Linked DNA regions of Astyanax mexicanus. The protein of the gene in region 1 binds, or shares a complex with, the protein of each later gene. Links are inferred from orthologs where the notes say so. Each region holds a gene or a part of one and is shown on either strand. Other genes may lie near its edges.

Evidence for each region. Proteins that work in one complex are often made in the same cells at the same time.
Region 2: the proteins of mccc1 (region 1) and mccc2 are in contact, whole or in part, in a cryo-EM structure (PDB 8JXM), measured with the Homo sapiens proteins. The link is inferred for Astyanax mexicanus from reciprocal best matches to the Homo sapiens genes MCCC1 and MCCC2. Residues at the interface, in NP_064551.3 of Homo sapiens: Glu519, Phe526, His531, Asp532, Phe534, Ser535, Pro536, Phe537, Ser538, Ser539, Ser540, Ser541, Gly542, Arg543, Arg544, Leu545, Asn546, Ile547, Tyr549, Thr550, Arg551, Tyr568, Tyr636, Leu637, Ser641, Glu644; in NP_071415.1 of Homo sapiens: Leu56, His57, Val60, Glu61, Lys64, Asp88, Ile91, Pro93, Gly94, Ser95, Pro96, Phe97, Leu98, Glu99, Gln102, Ile123, Gly124, Arg125, Gly128, Glu130, Arg234, Trp276, Leu278, His281, His282, His285, Lys298, Lys299, Leu300, Ile304.

The regions. Positions count from the first base shown.
Region 1 is NC_064423.1:26,094,008-26,101,907, forward strand, and holds the start of mccc1 (methylcrotonoyl-CoA carboxylase subunit alpha, mitochondrial), read left to right. Parts: upstream 1-4,894; 5' UTR 4,895-5,174; coding exon 5,175-5,227; intron 5,228-5,817; coding exon 5,818-5,861; intron 5,862-6,980; coding exon 6,981-7,114; intron 7,115-7,340; coding exon 7,341-7,436; intron 7,437-7,900. Other genes in the region: lysosome-associated membrane glycoprotein 3, read left to right, coding at 551-670, 2,146-2,218, 2,509-2,679, 3,044-3,180.
Region 2 is NC_064429.1:19,848,669-19,855,748, reverse strand, and holds the start of mccc2 (methylcrotonoyl-CoA carboxylase beta chain, mitochondrial), read right to left. Parts: upstream 3,025-7,080; 5' UTR 2,917-3,024; coding exon 2,788-2,916; intron 2,324-2,787; coding exon 2,257-2,323; intron 1,187-2,256; coding exon 1,102-1,186; intron 566-1,101; coding exon 464-565; intron 348-463; coding exon 220-347; intron 36-219; coding exon 1-35. Other genes in the region: transcription factor TFIIIB component B'' homolog, read right to left, coding at 5,770-5,901, 7,070-7,080. UniProt on the Homo sapiens protein: Carboxyltransferase subunit of the 3-methylcrotonyl-CoA carboxylase, an enzyme that catalyzes the conversion of 3-methylcrotonyl-CoA to 3-methylglutaconyl-CoA, a critical step for leucine and isovaleric acid catabolism.

The DNA of each region.
Region 1 (7,900 bases):
AAGAAACCAATACTAGACCTGCACAATACAATATCACAATGCAGTAAATGAAAAATGATGAATGGAAGAATGTTAAATGCTTGTACGACTTTAAAAATAAAATTTCCCACCCACCTGGCACCCACTATCAGGCCTCGCTCAAACTCTGATAATTAACACGTAGGGTGTTTAACCTCACTCACCTGATAACACCTCACAACTGTACTTGCAGTTGCAAGCTGTACACAAGAGACACGGCTTCATGATCATGATTTAATGATTTATGAACTCCTATTCCAAGACTTTTGGCATGTCAAACAAACAATTTGACCAAAAAAACCACTACTTTTGTGTTCACAATCTTATTTATTTATTTATTTATGACTTATGCAAGAAACATTATCATCACTTTTTTATGTTGTTTACCATGTACATATATATTGCAATTGTTATACAATCAATGTAAGTTACTTTTTCTATGGATGATTTGTATCATTAATGAATTGTTTAAATGATTAAGTAATTAATATCCACTGTTCCCAAAATATACTTTTTCTTTCTAATTTTGCAGAAGAAATCATTTTTCAACATTGACCCCCGATCCACTAGGGCAGAAGGTTCCTGTGGAGCTGTGAAGTGCGTTCTTTCACTCGTTTTTGATGGAGGAAAACTGACCTTCACTTTCGTCAAGGTAAATAATTTCCACCACACTGGTAGCAAATCTGTTGTAATGCATCATGGGTGAGTTCAGTTATCGTCGTTATATGAGCTCAGATGATTATGTATATCAATACTTCCTAACTAAAACCTGATCAGACGTGGACATTAGTCCAGACTGACCAGGTCAGCAGATAACTTTAGCTAACAGTCACATCCAGTCACTTTAACTAAAGCTTTTCTTGGAAACAAAAACACACAGTGAAATGTACGCTAACTTAGTGCCAAAGCTTCACGTCTGTAACATTCTGACATCAGGAACCTGAAGACCAAAAACCCACCCAGATAACATGAACATGTGCGGCCAGTATGTTTAGCCCTGCTGAGTTTTGATCATGGGTTTCATGTTGGCTCCATATGTTGATCAGTGCTGGGTCCAGGATGGGTTAGACATGGGCCTCATCTGGGTTGGGTAATGCATATAGGGCCTAGATGGGACCAATGTGATATTAAGGGTTCCATCCTGTGAGTCCCACACAAGCATGTTGGCTGTACACACTGAAAGACCAAAAAACACGACATATCTGAAATGTTTCATGCCCAGAAATCTGGCACAGTTTTAGACCACCTTGAATTATATTTGTGCAAGCAATGCTGCACAGTAAAATAGTGCACCATCCTCCCGACTTAAATTTCTATGATAACTTGGTACAGTGGTTCTTTCTGAGAATATACTCTGAGAATATTCTTGATCTCATCCTGACCGCTGCAGTATTTTTGACATTTCACACTGTTGAGACCACAGGCTGAAAACACCTCATTAACTACTTATAGATCTTTTTTATATTATTTCTCTTTAGACAGCTGCTTAGAAGTAATCATGATTGGCGAGTGTTAGTATGTGGTTGAAGAAGTCAGAGAATTATTGAAGCTTGGAAATTTGATTCAGCTGGTTCCAGTATTACAGTTATAGCTGATGATGCATCTTAAGCTTGAGCCTTTGCAATCCTAAGGAAGCCCAAACAAACAAAGTCAGCCTAGGCCACTTTTTTATTTATTTTATTTCTAATTTTGAGCGCACTCTGAGGAAAATGTAGTGACTCAGGTCCGATACATCAGCTCACAGATACCTTGTGCTGAGTGACATCACCCTTTGGAGTGATGTGGGGAGAGAGTGCCATCTACCCACCCAGAGAGAGCAAGGCCAATTGTACTCTCTCGGGGCTCCGGTTGCTGATGGCAAACTACATGAACAGGATTCAAACAAGCGCTCTCCTGGTCATAGTAGCAGCGCTGGACTTCTCGGAGCCCCCCCTAGCATAGGCCACTTTTAATAATAAATAAATAATAGAAATGTGTTTTAGAACTCATTAGACCCTCATTGTAATGCCTAGCCTCTTTATTTTGTCTCGCTGCAGAACATAGTTAAGACTATGATGTTGTACTAGGGTAAAGGAGTTCTGATTCCACTGGTATTTTGATCATGCTTTGTTTCAATGGCTTTTGCAGGATGGTAGTGTTTCCTATGTTAGCGAGCTGAAAGCCTCCTTGGAGCCAAAGCCTTCATGTAAGACATGCAAAAGTAAGTACACCCTCAATATGTAACCAGTGAAGTTAGAGTTAATCTGCATTTGGAACTGCTTTTAATTAGAGAAATAGTTCCCTATACTGTGTCAACCATTTTGTAGTATTGTTTAAAATTTCAGTTGTATATTTTACTTACTATATAATATAGGACACCCATTATTCATAACACAATATAGAATACAGATGATGTACAGTAGAATATTTAGGGTATACTATAATGCAATAAAGATACATGCTGCTGGATCATTTTTGCTGGTGGTAATACAGTATTTTTCTGTTTCTTAGGCAAAACCTATTCTGGTGTTATGGACCATGAGAAGCTCTTCTCAGTCAACAGTAACCAGAGTTTCACATGCAAGTCTGGGACGTACCTTATTCTGTCTGAAAGTCTCAGGATTAAGCTTGTCCCTTTGCAGATTCAAGCATTTAACCTGCCCAATGGAACATTTGGAAAAGGTATGTAGATTTTTAGTTCCAAGAACACAAATACACAATAGCCCTAAAAAATAGCTTATGCTGTTTAAAGGAGTCAGAATATCGACAAAACTCACAGCTAATGTAGTTAGGACAATATGAGGAGAACTACTTGAATGTTCTTTGTCTGGTTAGTGGGTTTCAGATAAATTCCAGTGATGAATATCTCTAAACATGTCCTATATAAGGTTGGGTGATATGGGTCTAAAATAATATCAATGAAAGGACCATTTGAAGCACTTTTTTAAAAGAGATTTCTTTGGTATAAGTAAAATTCCAGCCTATATGTCCCACATTTCTCTGATCAGCAGCCACACTAAGAATTTGCTGTGTAATGTCATTGCAGGAGAAGAGTGCTGGGCTGATTACAACAAGCGGATCCTCCCCATCATACTGGGTGCTGTAGCAGTGGGTCTCATCCTCATCAGTGTGCTGATTTTTGTGTTGACTCGCGATCGCCATGGCGGCTACGAACCACTTTAAGGACTATGATGTGTACATACAATATACTGTACAGTGATGTGCAAAAATCATAAAACTTCTGAAATAATGCTTTCTATAGAACTGTTTCTCTGAGCAGCAAATTAGAATAATTAGAATAAATCTAAATATACAATCCATTTTTATTTTGTTTCACACTAAGAAAGACATATAGATATAATCGACTAAAAAGGGCCAGTGTTTCCCGTTTTCATTTAACACCTAGATTATGTAATCAATCCTTAAAAAAATCAAATCTAATAACATTGTAGGTCACGATTATGCAGAATAAATAGAAAATACTAAAGGGTTCACAACATTTAAAGCACCACTGTATGCATGTATGTATATATATTACTCTTAGAATCCTACATCAGTGTTTGTAATGTTTCTGTAGGTCATTTTTGTACTGCATTTTAAAAGAGTCTTTTTTAAGATAATGCAAAACATTCTATATTTCTGTTTACATAATTGTGCATTCACAAGTGTTTACAAGCCTTTCTTCCATTTATAGACTAAAATGTGCTGTACATTTATTTAAGCACTGTTATTTCTGTGCTCGGTTTAAAAGGGAGCTGATGCTAAGCTGCTGTTTCCAGTGATTGTGTGGTTGTGGTTGCTAAATGTGAAAACCAGTTTTATTTCATTTATTTTAAAGCATTTCTGTCCGTTCTTCATCATTAAATTTTAATGCAATGTAAAAAAAACAACAGCAAAAATAGAGATCAATGTTTTGGCGTGAAAATAATGATACATTTCCATGTTTCTAAAAGTAACTGACTGTGGGGACTTCATAGCAATTTTAACGTTTACGTGTGAGTGTGAGTAAATAAGTGTGTGAATGTGCTCTAGACAATTTATTAAAAAAAAATAATAATTAATGGCCTGTTCTTTAAACTTCCGAATCTCATCACTCACTTGAACAATCAAGAGCAAACCAAATTAAATACTGCCTCCTCAGACAAGTATCTGAGGCAGGAGTGCGCTCATGTCTAATAAAAGTTTAATAATCTAAAAAAAATGCTAATGGGTAATGACTATACAAATAAATGTTCATATCCAGCAGTGAACTATACCGGTACAGATAGTTGCCTTTGTGATTTGATTAAACAGACCTTCACTGTTACACTAGCTACATTCTGGGAAAGTGTGGAAATCAAGTCAGCTAGCTATTTCCAGTTTCAGGCACATGTATAGACCTTCTGTAGGGATGTTCTGTATATCTGTAGCAAATGTATGGTACACCTGATTCTAATTTTAAGTAATAAATCTGGGGGTATCCTAACTTTTTTTTCTTATCCTAAGAAATTTTTCTACTTCTACTTATTCCGTTTTATCATAGTTCTTTTTTTTTTTTTAGTTAGTTAGTTGTGCATCTCTTAATATTGGTAACATGTCCACATATTTATACATGATAAAATTTTAAACAGATATACTTAGAAAGCACAATATTATTTGGTATAAATTACTCTGTTATATATAATTTTGTTTGCTAAATATGTTTGCTTGCCAAATATTGGGTTAATCCCTACAAAAATCTTTTCTTCTTTTTTACATTACTCTTTATTTTTACCCCAATTTATTCATTCCCTCACTTTCAGGCTTTAACACTCCTTTTATATCTAAATTATATTATAAATTATATTCTTTTTCATTCATATTACATGGCTGCTCCACGCCTCCCCAGGCTTTAATATCATTGGTGTAACTAAAGTACGGGTCGCGGGTAGGTTCAGACCATGTAGCCCGCTGGCTAGTATTAGCAAACACTTCAGTATAAACTACACTATTATAGAGGCTGTTTATGGCGGAGACACGGACTAAGAAACTGAATAAATTCTAGAGTTACATAGGAATAGGAAAAAGTATATCTGTGAAGCTAACTGAAGGACATGAGACGGTTTTAATTAATTCCGTCAGTTCAAACCGGTCAGTTAGCTAACGCTAACTAAGCTAAGATAGTTAGCTTAGCATTTACCTCAGCTTAGCTTGTGAATATGGCAGCTGTCTTGAAGCCACAGCTCAGTCAGGGACTGAGAGCACACATCCAGTAAGTTATTACAGCTTTAAAATATATTTATGCATGTATTTCCGGTTTTATGTAAAGAGCAGAGACAAAAATGCAGTGGCCAGAGTTTATTTAACCTAGTGTTTATAGCTAATCTAGCTGCTACCTAACAAGTAAAGTTGGTTGTAAGCTAAGCTACCAGCTTCTGTTTATGCTTAATTTATAAAGTTACAGCTAACAGACGGCTAAGCAAACGCATTAACACCAAAATTAGCTCAGTATCACTCATGTGCACAACTTTATTTGCTTTAAATGTGTTTTTATTATCTCCAAAACCCTTACAGACAGAGCCAGAATGCACAGAGCTGGTAGGGTGCAAGGTTAAAGGCATTCCAGGCACTTCAGACTGACCACCTCTCTAAGCTAGCTAGCTAGTTAACTCTTTTTGCAAGATTCTGGCATTTAGACAAGCTAAATATTGTTGGGAGAAATTTAACATGACATGTAACATTTAAATAAACCAGTGGCAAGTCATTCAGCTGTGTGTTCTGACAGTGAAGGTCAGCGTGTTTGTTTTCCAAACCTGCCTCCTTTAGCTACAGACTAAACTAAAGGTGTTCTCTTGCCCACAGGAAACTAATATGGACCAAAGGATGTGTCAGGCATGCTTCATTGGGTAAGTGCATTGTAATCAGAAGCTTCTCAGATCAGTTAAGATTCACTGTATGTTCAGATGTGTTTGGGCAGATAATTAGTAGGTAAGCTGGTGTGCTGGAGTTAGACACATTTAGCTTGTGTATATTACAAGCTGTACAAATTGTTCTATACAAAAACACTGGCCAGAGGTATGAGATGCTCTGGAGCAGCTTATGGTCATCATACCCATTGCTGAGCTTGGGTTAGAGGACTGATGAACAGTGAAGCTGCATCATCTGCGTTCTCTAGAAAGATTGAGCTCCATTTACTAGTTTTGGGATGAGCTGGGAGTGGCAGAACTAATCAAATCAAAATCAGTGCCAGCAGATTTCCTCTATGAGGCCTCTCTCATGAGGCTAAACACAATCAGATCTGCACAGCTGTGTTCTGACATCTAGTGTTAATCCTCCAGACAAATAGAGGATCTCACTGCAACAAAACAGGGCTATCTGCTTATTAATACCCATGATTTCAGGGAAAAAAAAAAACTCTTATGGACCTGGTGTCCAATATTTTACCTAAAATTGTAGTTCCAAGATGGTTATGTACATACTGTATTTTATATTTATAACATTTAAATTGTTCTTTTATTAATAAAAATGTTGAGTAAGGGAAAACACATGGCAATGCAAGTTTACATATTTTTGTGTATTGCATTCACAATAGCAGTAAGAAAATGTAGTAGTAGTAATAATAATAATAATAATAAATAAATAAATAAATAAATAAATAAATAAATATATAGAGGATAAAATTACAAAATGATCCAATGTGCAGTGTCTGTGGGAGAGTAGTAAATTATGATGTAAGATTTGGAATAACATTTTGTGATCAGTAGCAGGTAATACCAAAACTGCAATTCTTGATATTGGTTAGAAAATCAAGACAAAGCGTGTGTAATTTCATGCCAGCTTCATACTATTTTAAAATTCAGAAAAATTAAATTAATGGTATTATTTCCTTTCAAATATTTTTTTTCTGTCTGGATAATACTTATAATACTGGACTGTACCTACCCACTTGTTATTTGTTTAGCATAGTAGCAGTTTATTAGCTAAATATGACATTCAAAAATAATTGGACTGTTTTTGCTCTACAGCGAGGATAGAGAAAGTCCTCATTGCAAACAGAGGAGAAATAGCCTGCAGAGTGATGCGGACAGCAAAAAAGATGGGTGTCCGTTCTGTGGCTGTGTACAGTGATGCTGACAGACACTCTATGCATGTGGCCATGGTGAGAAAAAGAGACGTTGTGGTTACACAAGTTTTCAAGTGTTGCAATGTGAACATTTCATTGCAGTCAACTGTGGACAAGATCACACTTTTGTTTAAAATCACATTTTCATATCTTAATCAGCCATTGCAAAGGAATGTTCATACTTCTTCATATGTATATCTTGTAATTGATAACCGCTGTAGAGTTTAGTGTACAATTAACTTTTTTTATTATTAAATTCTAGGCGGATGAAGCATATCACATTGGAGCAGCACCGTCACAACAGAGTTATTTGTGTATGGAGAAAGTTCTTGAAGTTGCCAAGAAGTCCTCTGCACAGGTATGTCCCCTGTTGTGTGCAGGTCATGTTATGTGGAAAGTACATATGTAAGTAAGTATGTTGATTTTCTTAAGTTTAATAGGTTGAAATACACAAACACTTTTAAGTGCCATCCGAAAATGGTTGCAATTTTATCCTTTCATTCAAGCCACTCGTTCCATTTGATTCTATTGAATGAGTGAATTTCTTTAAAACTGACTCCCAATTTTTTAATACATTGCCAAAAAAATCTGTTTGAGTTCAGTTTCTATAAAACAGCTGCTGGTTCTCCTTTTCATGGCATACAGAATGCCACACTGCTAATTAAATAATAATAGTAATAAAAATGTATATATATATTTATATAATTAATATATTTGTATATTTCTTTGCCAACAAAAACAAAAAACTGCTTGCTTTGTGCAGTTTTATATTTGTAATATCAATACTGGTGTCCCACAGGGTTCAAATATAGGGCCTTTGCA
Region 2 (7,080 bases), on another chromosome or scaffold:
TGCCTGTCTGGGCAAGTTGGCACCCCCAGAATCCACTGTAGACAAAACAGCTAATTAGGGTGGGCCTACTTAAACAACATTGAGGTCACATTTTGATTTAAATATTTTTTTCTTGTATGTATGTATGTATGTATGTCAGATACACTTGCAACAGTGTAAAAATGTGGAATATATTACATTCTTTTATCACGACAAGAATGCATGACTAATGTAACTCACCGAGATAAATGCATGGCAGGTGGTTCTGTTGTGCAATCTCTTGAGCGCGAAGGTGCTTCTTTACAGTAACTGGATAATAAGTACCTCCTTTCACAGTGGCATCATTTGCAGCGATCACGCATTCCACCCTGTGATGAACAGATGTATAGAAAACAATGATTCATTATCATTCCTTAATTTAAGAATAATGAAGTCACCACTTCACTTTTTTCCGTTTTAATATCAAAAAGGATTCATCACTTACCCAGAAACTCGACCAATGCCAGTGATGATGCCTCCAGCGGGAACTTCTTCACTACCATACAGCTCATAAGCAGCAAGCTGGGACAGTTCTAAAAAGGGAGAGCTGCACCCAGAGACAAAACAGTTAGGGAGCAACTGAGCACTTTATTACACAACAGTGACTATGTAGATAAATTTATAAAAGCAAGGTAGAGCTATTGTCACTGTAAAGTTAAAATTCATTATTGCAATTTTACTAATTTGGGAACCATACGTCAGTCAAAAAACACAAAGTAAATACATTTAATTTTATACCTTAACACTGGCAAAAGCATTGCAGTGGATGATTTTTAACTTGGCTCTTTTAGTCAAGAAGCCATCTTAATGATTAGCATGCTAGCTATGTCAATTATCACAAACCGTAACATACAAAAGTGAACATAACTGCTTGATAATCTTATATATTACATTACAGTGTTGCATACTGAGTTTTATTACATTTAGGGATGCATGATGATATCGGAATTATATCTGCTAATTTGCCTTTTATTTTCACCAGCATTGACTGATGTCTAGATATTACAATCCATTACATGATTACATATTTATTGTATATGTTGTAAAATGAATTGTATAGTTAATGTGTCTTGCATTGTTTACCCTGGGTCTAGGAGTCTATCAATTCGTTCCCGAGGCAGAAGCTTTCCTCTGGATGTGTGTAAGGCCCTTGCTCTTTCTCCTCCACCTGTGAGAATGAATGGAAACATTTTTCAAACCATTGGTGATCAATCAATCCTCCTTGATATATAAACATAGCACAAAAAATAATGAAAATTGTCTTTGGTAGATAACAAATGTAGATAATAAAGCTTCTTGGAAACAAGGCATTGGAAAATCCTGTTACTTTTGCTTTTAAATGGATTAAATTTATATATAAGAAAAAATGCCTCTGCCAATGCCAAACAGTGTATTCAGCTGTTGACTGGTGTTTTAACTATATTCTTGGGGTGTCATCTTCATCTTCTTGGGACTCCCACAACATCCCCTGTGATATGAAACTTGGCCTTCAGTTTGGAGATGGTACTGGGGCTCACTCTAAATAATGCTGCATATTGATTTTTCACCAGTTTGCCCCATCTAGATCAGTCAAACATGGCATGCTTATTCTTGGAGCAGACACCCATTGACCAATGTAGCTGGCTCCATGCTCACAGGTGCTACTGGCATCTGATTGGCAGCACTTGAGGTACCAGAAGCTCAAAACAGGCGTCAATAGCAACATGGCCAAATAGTATATTTACAACAAAGAAATAATCTACCAAACACAAATCTTCTTACTTTTTTTGTGCTACGTTTAGTTACATTTTGCAGATTAAAACTCCTAACCAAGCTAAACACTGCTCATGCAACTAATGAAGGATTTTAAAAGGATGGATTGAATATTGAAGGATTTTTAAAGGATGGATGCTTAGGGTGAATAAATGTGTGGGAAGTGGGTTGTTGTTGACTGCCAACCAAATTCTGGTGTTTATACAATCAATGGAAGCACAGCCTTTCCACATTTTAGCATTAGTGTATTTGCAATATGACTGCAGTAGGTATCTACACACTGCTACACTCCTAGTTGGTAATGAAACCTGCATGAAGGTTGCTCTCCAGGATCAGGCTGGTGATCACAGGGGTAAACAAACCACTACAGTTAGGTTAAGTTGCTGCTTAAGGTCACCGTCAAAAACATCAGCCACGTCTTACAATTCTAGTTCTATAGCTTAGCTAATTACTATTATAAATATGACCTAGATAAAAGATGCTCACCAAGTTTGATCTTCTCTGATCGCTCTTTCAGCTCCTTCACCAAAGCTTGCATGCGTTCATAGTTTTCCTAAAGTGACAGGCAAAGTATCAACATGTCAGAATGCTTTTAAATACCTTAAAATGACACAAACAACTAATTTTTCCACAAAGAAAGTATTTTAATACAAAAATTAAGAAACCAATGGCTGCATTTTGGCAGTTGTTTTTCTGTGAAGGGCTTTAGATCACTATAACGTTAGCTAGCTATGTTAGCTAGCTAACTCACACAACTGTCAGCTTCTTAAATAATACTTGCTAAAACAGTTTAAATATGTTTGCTTTATATCCAATATTGATCTAGTTTTAACCCAACCTGAGGTAATATGCAATGCTTTAATCGTTTACAACATATTTAAAGGATTCTCCTCAGCTAAATGTCAACAGAAAGCATCAGCAGCACAAGCCGCCAAGGGCATCCCAGTCCCCCCGCGAGAGACGCACTCCTCCACCGAGCCGCTGCTACTCCAGCCCGGGGCTTTCGTCTCGGCCTACCTGGTAAACCGGAGACTGCACATCAGCCTGGGAGCCCAGAGTGGCGACTTTATCCGCATGGTAGAGCCGCAGCAGAGCGCTCCTGCTCCGGATAAAGGGGACAGACGGTCTGAGAGCTTGCATTAACATTTTGTCACTATAAATTTAGCATTTTATTCATTAACAATAAGAAATAACCGTCCAATGTTTCCCCCAACTGAATGAACCACTGGAGGGGTGACCGAGTTGGTGGAGCCACGCCCCCTTCAAAGTCTATCCAATGAAACGGTCAGAAAAACTGACGCCCAGTTTCTGAAGAGACTTGATTGACACACACGTGCAGTAAGGGTTCCAGAGCAAGCAGTTAGCTAGCAAGAAGTGGGGTTAACAATAGTTTTTATTTTATTTTACCAAATTAAAAACCTCTGGAATATAATCAAGACGAAGATGGATGACCACAAGCCATCAAACCAAGCTGAACTGCTTAAATATTTGCACCAGTGGCATAAAGTTATCTAAAAGCAGTGTGTAAAGGTGCTTGCACACTGCACGCGGTAGGTGCGGCGCGGTACGCTGACCCCCATAGGATTCAATAGTGTCTAGAGCGGTAGAGCGGTGCGTCGCTGCCGCGGAGCAGAGCGGAAAGCGGCGCGTTTCCCCGCCCATAACCACGCCTCCACCGCGCTACCGCTTACCGCGGGCAAAGTTCAACATGGTTCAACTTTGACCTCGCGGCAAGCGGTACCTCGGCAGAAAACGCATGACGTGAACTCACGCGACTAGAGAGAAACTGTAGTCCAAACAACAATAAACGTGCGCGAGAGACTAATAATAGCGATTAGTGAATCCCCTCAGCTGTACATCACTTCCCTACACTCATATAGAGATAACAGGAGGAAGAGAAGAATCAGAGCTTTGTTCTGAGGCTGAGAAACATATACAGATCCACAGAGGCTGTAGAGACTCAAAACTACAAAACACCGCTCACAGAGGTGATGGGTTTTAGAAAACTCCGCCTATTATCAGCAGGAGACGCTTGGCGTCAGCAGCAGCGCAACGCACCCGCAACTGACCAGCGTAGAGCAGAGCGGCAGCACAGCGGAATGCCGCGCGGCATACCGCGTTCAGTGTGCAAGCACCTTAAGACTGGTGGAGGAGAACATGCCAAGATGCATAAAAACTGTGAATAAAAACCAGGGTTATTCCACCAAATATTGATTTCTAAACTCTTAAACTTTATTATATAAACTTGTTTTCTTTGCATTGTTTGAGTTCTGAAAGCTCTGCATCTTTTTTTGTATTTCAGCCATTTCTCACTTTTTCCGTTGTTTTACTCAAACGTATACCTATAAATAGCAAAATCAGATAAACTGATTCAGAAACTGAATGTTTCTGAAGTTTAGCAGTTATATATAGTTAAATTAACTCACCTCAACATGCCTTTTGCAATCATTTAGTCCCCTGTGGGCAATGCTAAAGTCACTATTACAAACTCTAGAGCGGGCAAGCAAGAGTCATTTTTTTTATTTATACCAGACACGGATATACTTTAGAGTAGTCAGAGGTGAAACAAGTTTTGGTGGGAGCATGATCTCCAGATATTGGGCCTCATTTAGAAAACTCTGCCTAGCTTCTGAAGTGAAAGTGTGTGCATGCACAAAACCATGAAATAGCTTACGCCCAAAAAAAATGCAGCACAAAGAAGTGAAATGATGGACTCTGCGCAGTAGAAGAACTTGTTTCGGAGGTCGAGGAGGAAGAAGGTGTAGTTTGGTGGTTTTATCCCACAGTTCAATAAGAATGGCTACTGGAAAACTAAACCGATCCATTAAACAATCATTCGCAAAAAAATCTTTATGCTATAATAATAATAATAATAATATTAATAATAATAGAAATACTAATATTTATATATAGCACCTTTGGATTTTAAATTGTAAAATAAAATAAACCAGATAATACAAATAAAATTGAAATAAACTACAAGTGAAATACACAAGTATAACTAACTAACAAAAGGCGAATAAGATATGGAGCACATTAAAACTTTATACATGCAGACAAAATATATTTGAACAAGTATATTTATATTTTAATATATTTTAACTTCTTTAATCTTACGTTTTTAGTCTTGATTTCTGCATTATGTATTAATATGCGTGAGGAAGGTTTACGCATTTACCTGCAATTCCGTGCTTTACCACATGATGTCACTAATTCCCGCTCTCTCCGCAATCTTCTGAATGGATACGCATCCCTCAAACCTTGCTTAAATATACGCTCATTTTCACAGCAAGTATTTCTTTATGAATCACAGTTCGTGAGATGTTGCACGCACATTTCAGGCCCAGTCTTATATAGCCCTATTCAACAAAAAACATGAAATACAATCCAAATAATGGATTCCAAAAGCCAAAAAATTGCATTATTTATTATTTAGTGACAAAATAAAACTGGAGAAAATGTGAAGCGTTAGGAAATTAATGTTTAGTTAAGTGTGCCACATATTGCATGTAGTAGTGCAGTGTTTAAAAATAAATAACCAAGAAATAAATAAGGCAACAAGGAATTTTCATAACAAGGAACCACAGTTTCACATTCATGGTCATAAATATTAGGCACATTGCACTTTGAGGAAAAAGAAACAAAAAATCAGTCCCTGTTTCAATTACATTCAATATTAAATCACCCGTAATACTTTAGTTTAATAATGTTTACCAACAGAGAAAATAATATCGATAAGGCAACTGTAAATAAAAGCTTCCAATATCTAACAGCAAAATAAATATGAAGCAAGTGTAACTAAACAGAAATAAGCAGAACCTTCTAGTAATTATAGACCATCTTTAAAATAATACTGCAGCATTTTCATGGCAAATAAAAATATTAAATATAATACTTCAGTTAAACATACTGAAACACTTGCTTTGGTAACTGTTTATGTTGATGTAGGGTGGGGGGGTGGAGGGTGTATAAATCACAGTGTTTATGTTAGTATATCAGTTAGTCCCCATCCTCCACTTCAGTGAAGATATCACAGAGGAAGAACTGAGATACTCTGGATGGTTCATCTTCAGTGTCATCACTAGACTTGGGAGAATCCTCTTTGGGTGCTATGCCAGGAGAGGTCTTCAGCTTCATGTAGAGGAAAGGAAAGGGAAGGGGACAAAAACAACATTGGTTACTGAGTGGATCTGCATTTAATATATGAATTACAAACAGCACAGATATGATGCTCAGCACTGATATCAGGCTGATCCCAACAGAATCAGTGGATCAGTGAGTGTATTTGCATGCCCTTAATAAACTAACAATCACTAAAAAGCATATTTTTGCAGCAATCCGATAAACGTGTTCACATACATTTGGGTAATCAGATAATGGATGTTTAAATGAGTCAGGAAATGCTCAGATTTCTATTTGACAACCAGCCAGTAATGTCACAAAAGCATGTGAAAAAACTACAAACTTCCTGAAATAATCAGAGTAAGGGTATGCACTGGGAATTTTTTTATCAGATTATAATTGGGTCTTAATCGGATCTTAGAAATCTGAGTGCATTTTTTACATTCACTTGCATTATTGGGACCTTATTTTTAAACAATTTGTTGTGGATTTGTTATTTAGGATGTACAGTCCAGTTCTTTTTATCTAAATAGTTTAATATACACATTTGACCTGCGTGTGATATCTACTTGGTACATGAGACATAAGACATTTCATAAGCCATTCAAATTATTCACATCTTAAAGAGCGAGAAATACAGCACTTACAAATTATACGTTTCTTTAATTTTACCAAATTAAAAACCTCTGGAATATAATCAAGAGGAAAATGCTTGCATTTTTGCACCAGGAGTGGTGTAAAGTTATCCAAAAGCAGTGTGTAAGACTGGTGGAGGAGAACATGTCAAGATGCATGAAAATTGTGATTAAAAACCAGGGTTATTCAACCAAATATTGATTTCTGTACTCCTAAAACTTTATGAATATGAACTCATTTTCTTTGCATTATTTGAGGTCTGAAAGCTCTGCATCTTTTTGTTATTTTAGCCATTTTTCATTTGCTGCAAATAAATGCTCTAAATAACAATATTTTTATTTGGAATTTGGGTGAAAAGTTGTCCGTAGTTTATAGAATAAAACAATAATGTTAATTTTATTCAAACATATACCTATAAATAGGAAAATCAGAGAAACTGATTCAGAAACTGAAGTGGTCTCAATTTCTCCCAGAGCTGCATATAATACAGGTCCTTTAAATGGAACTAGGGATTTTTGTTGTTTTCGATCCTTATGTTTACCTGTTGAGAAG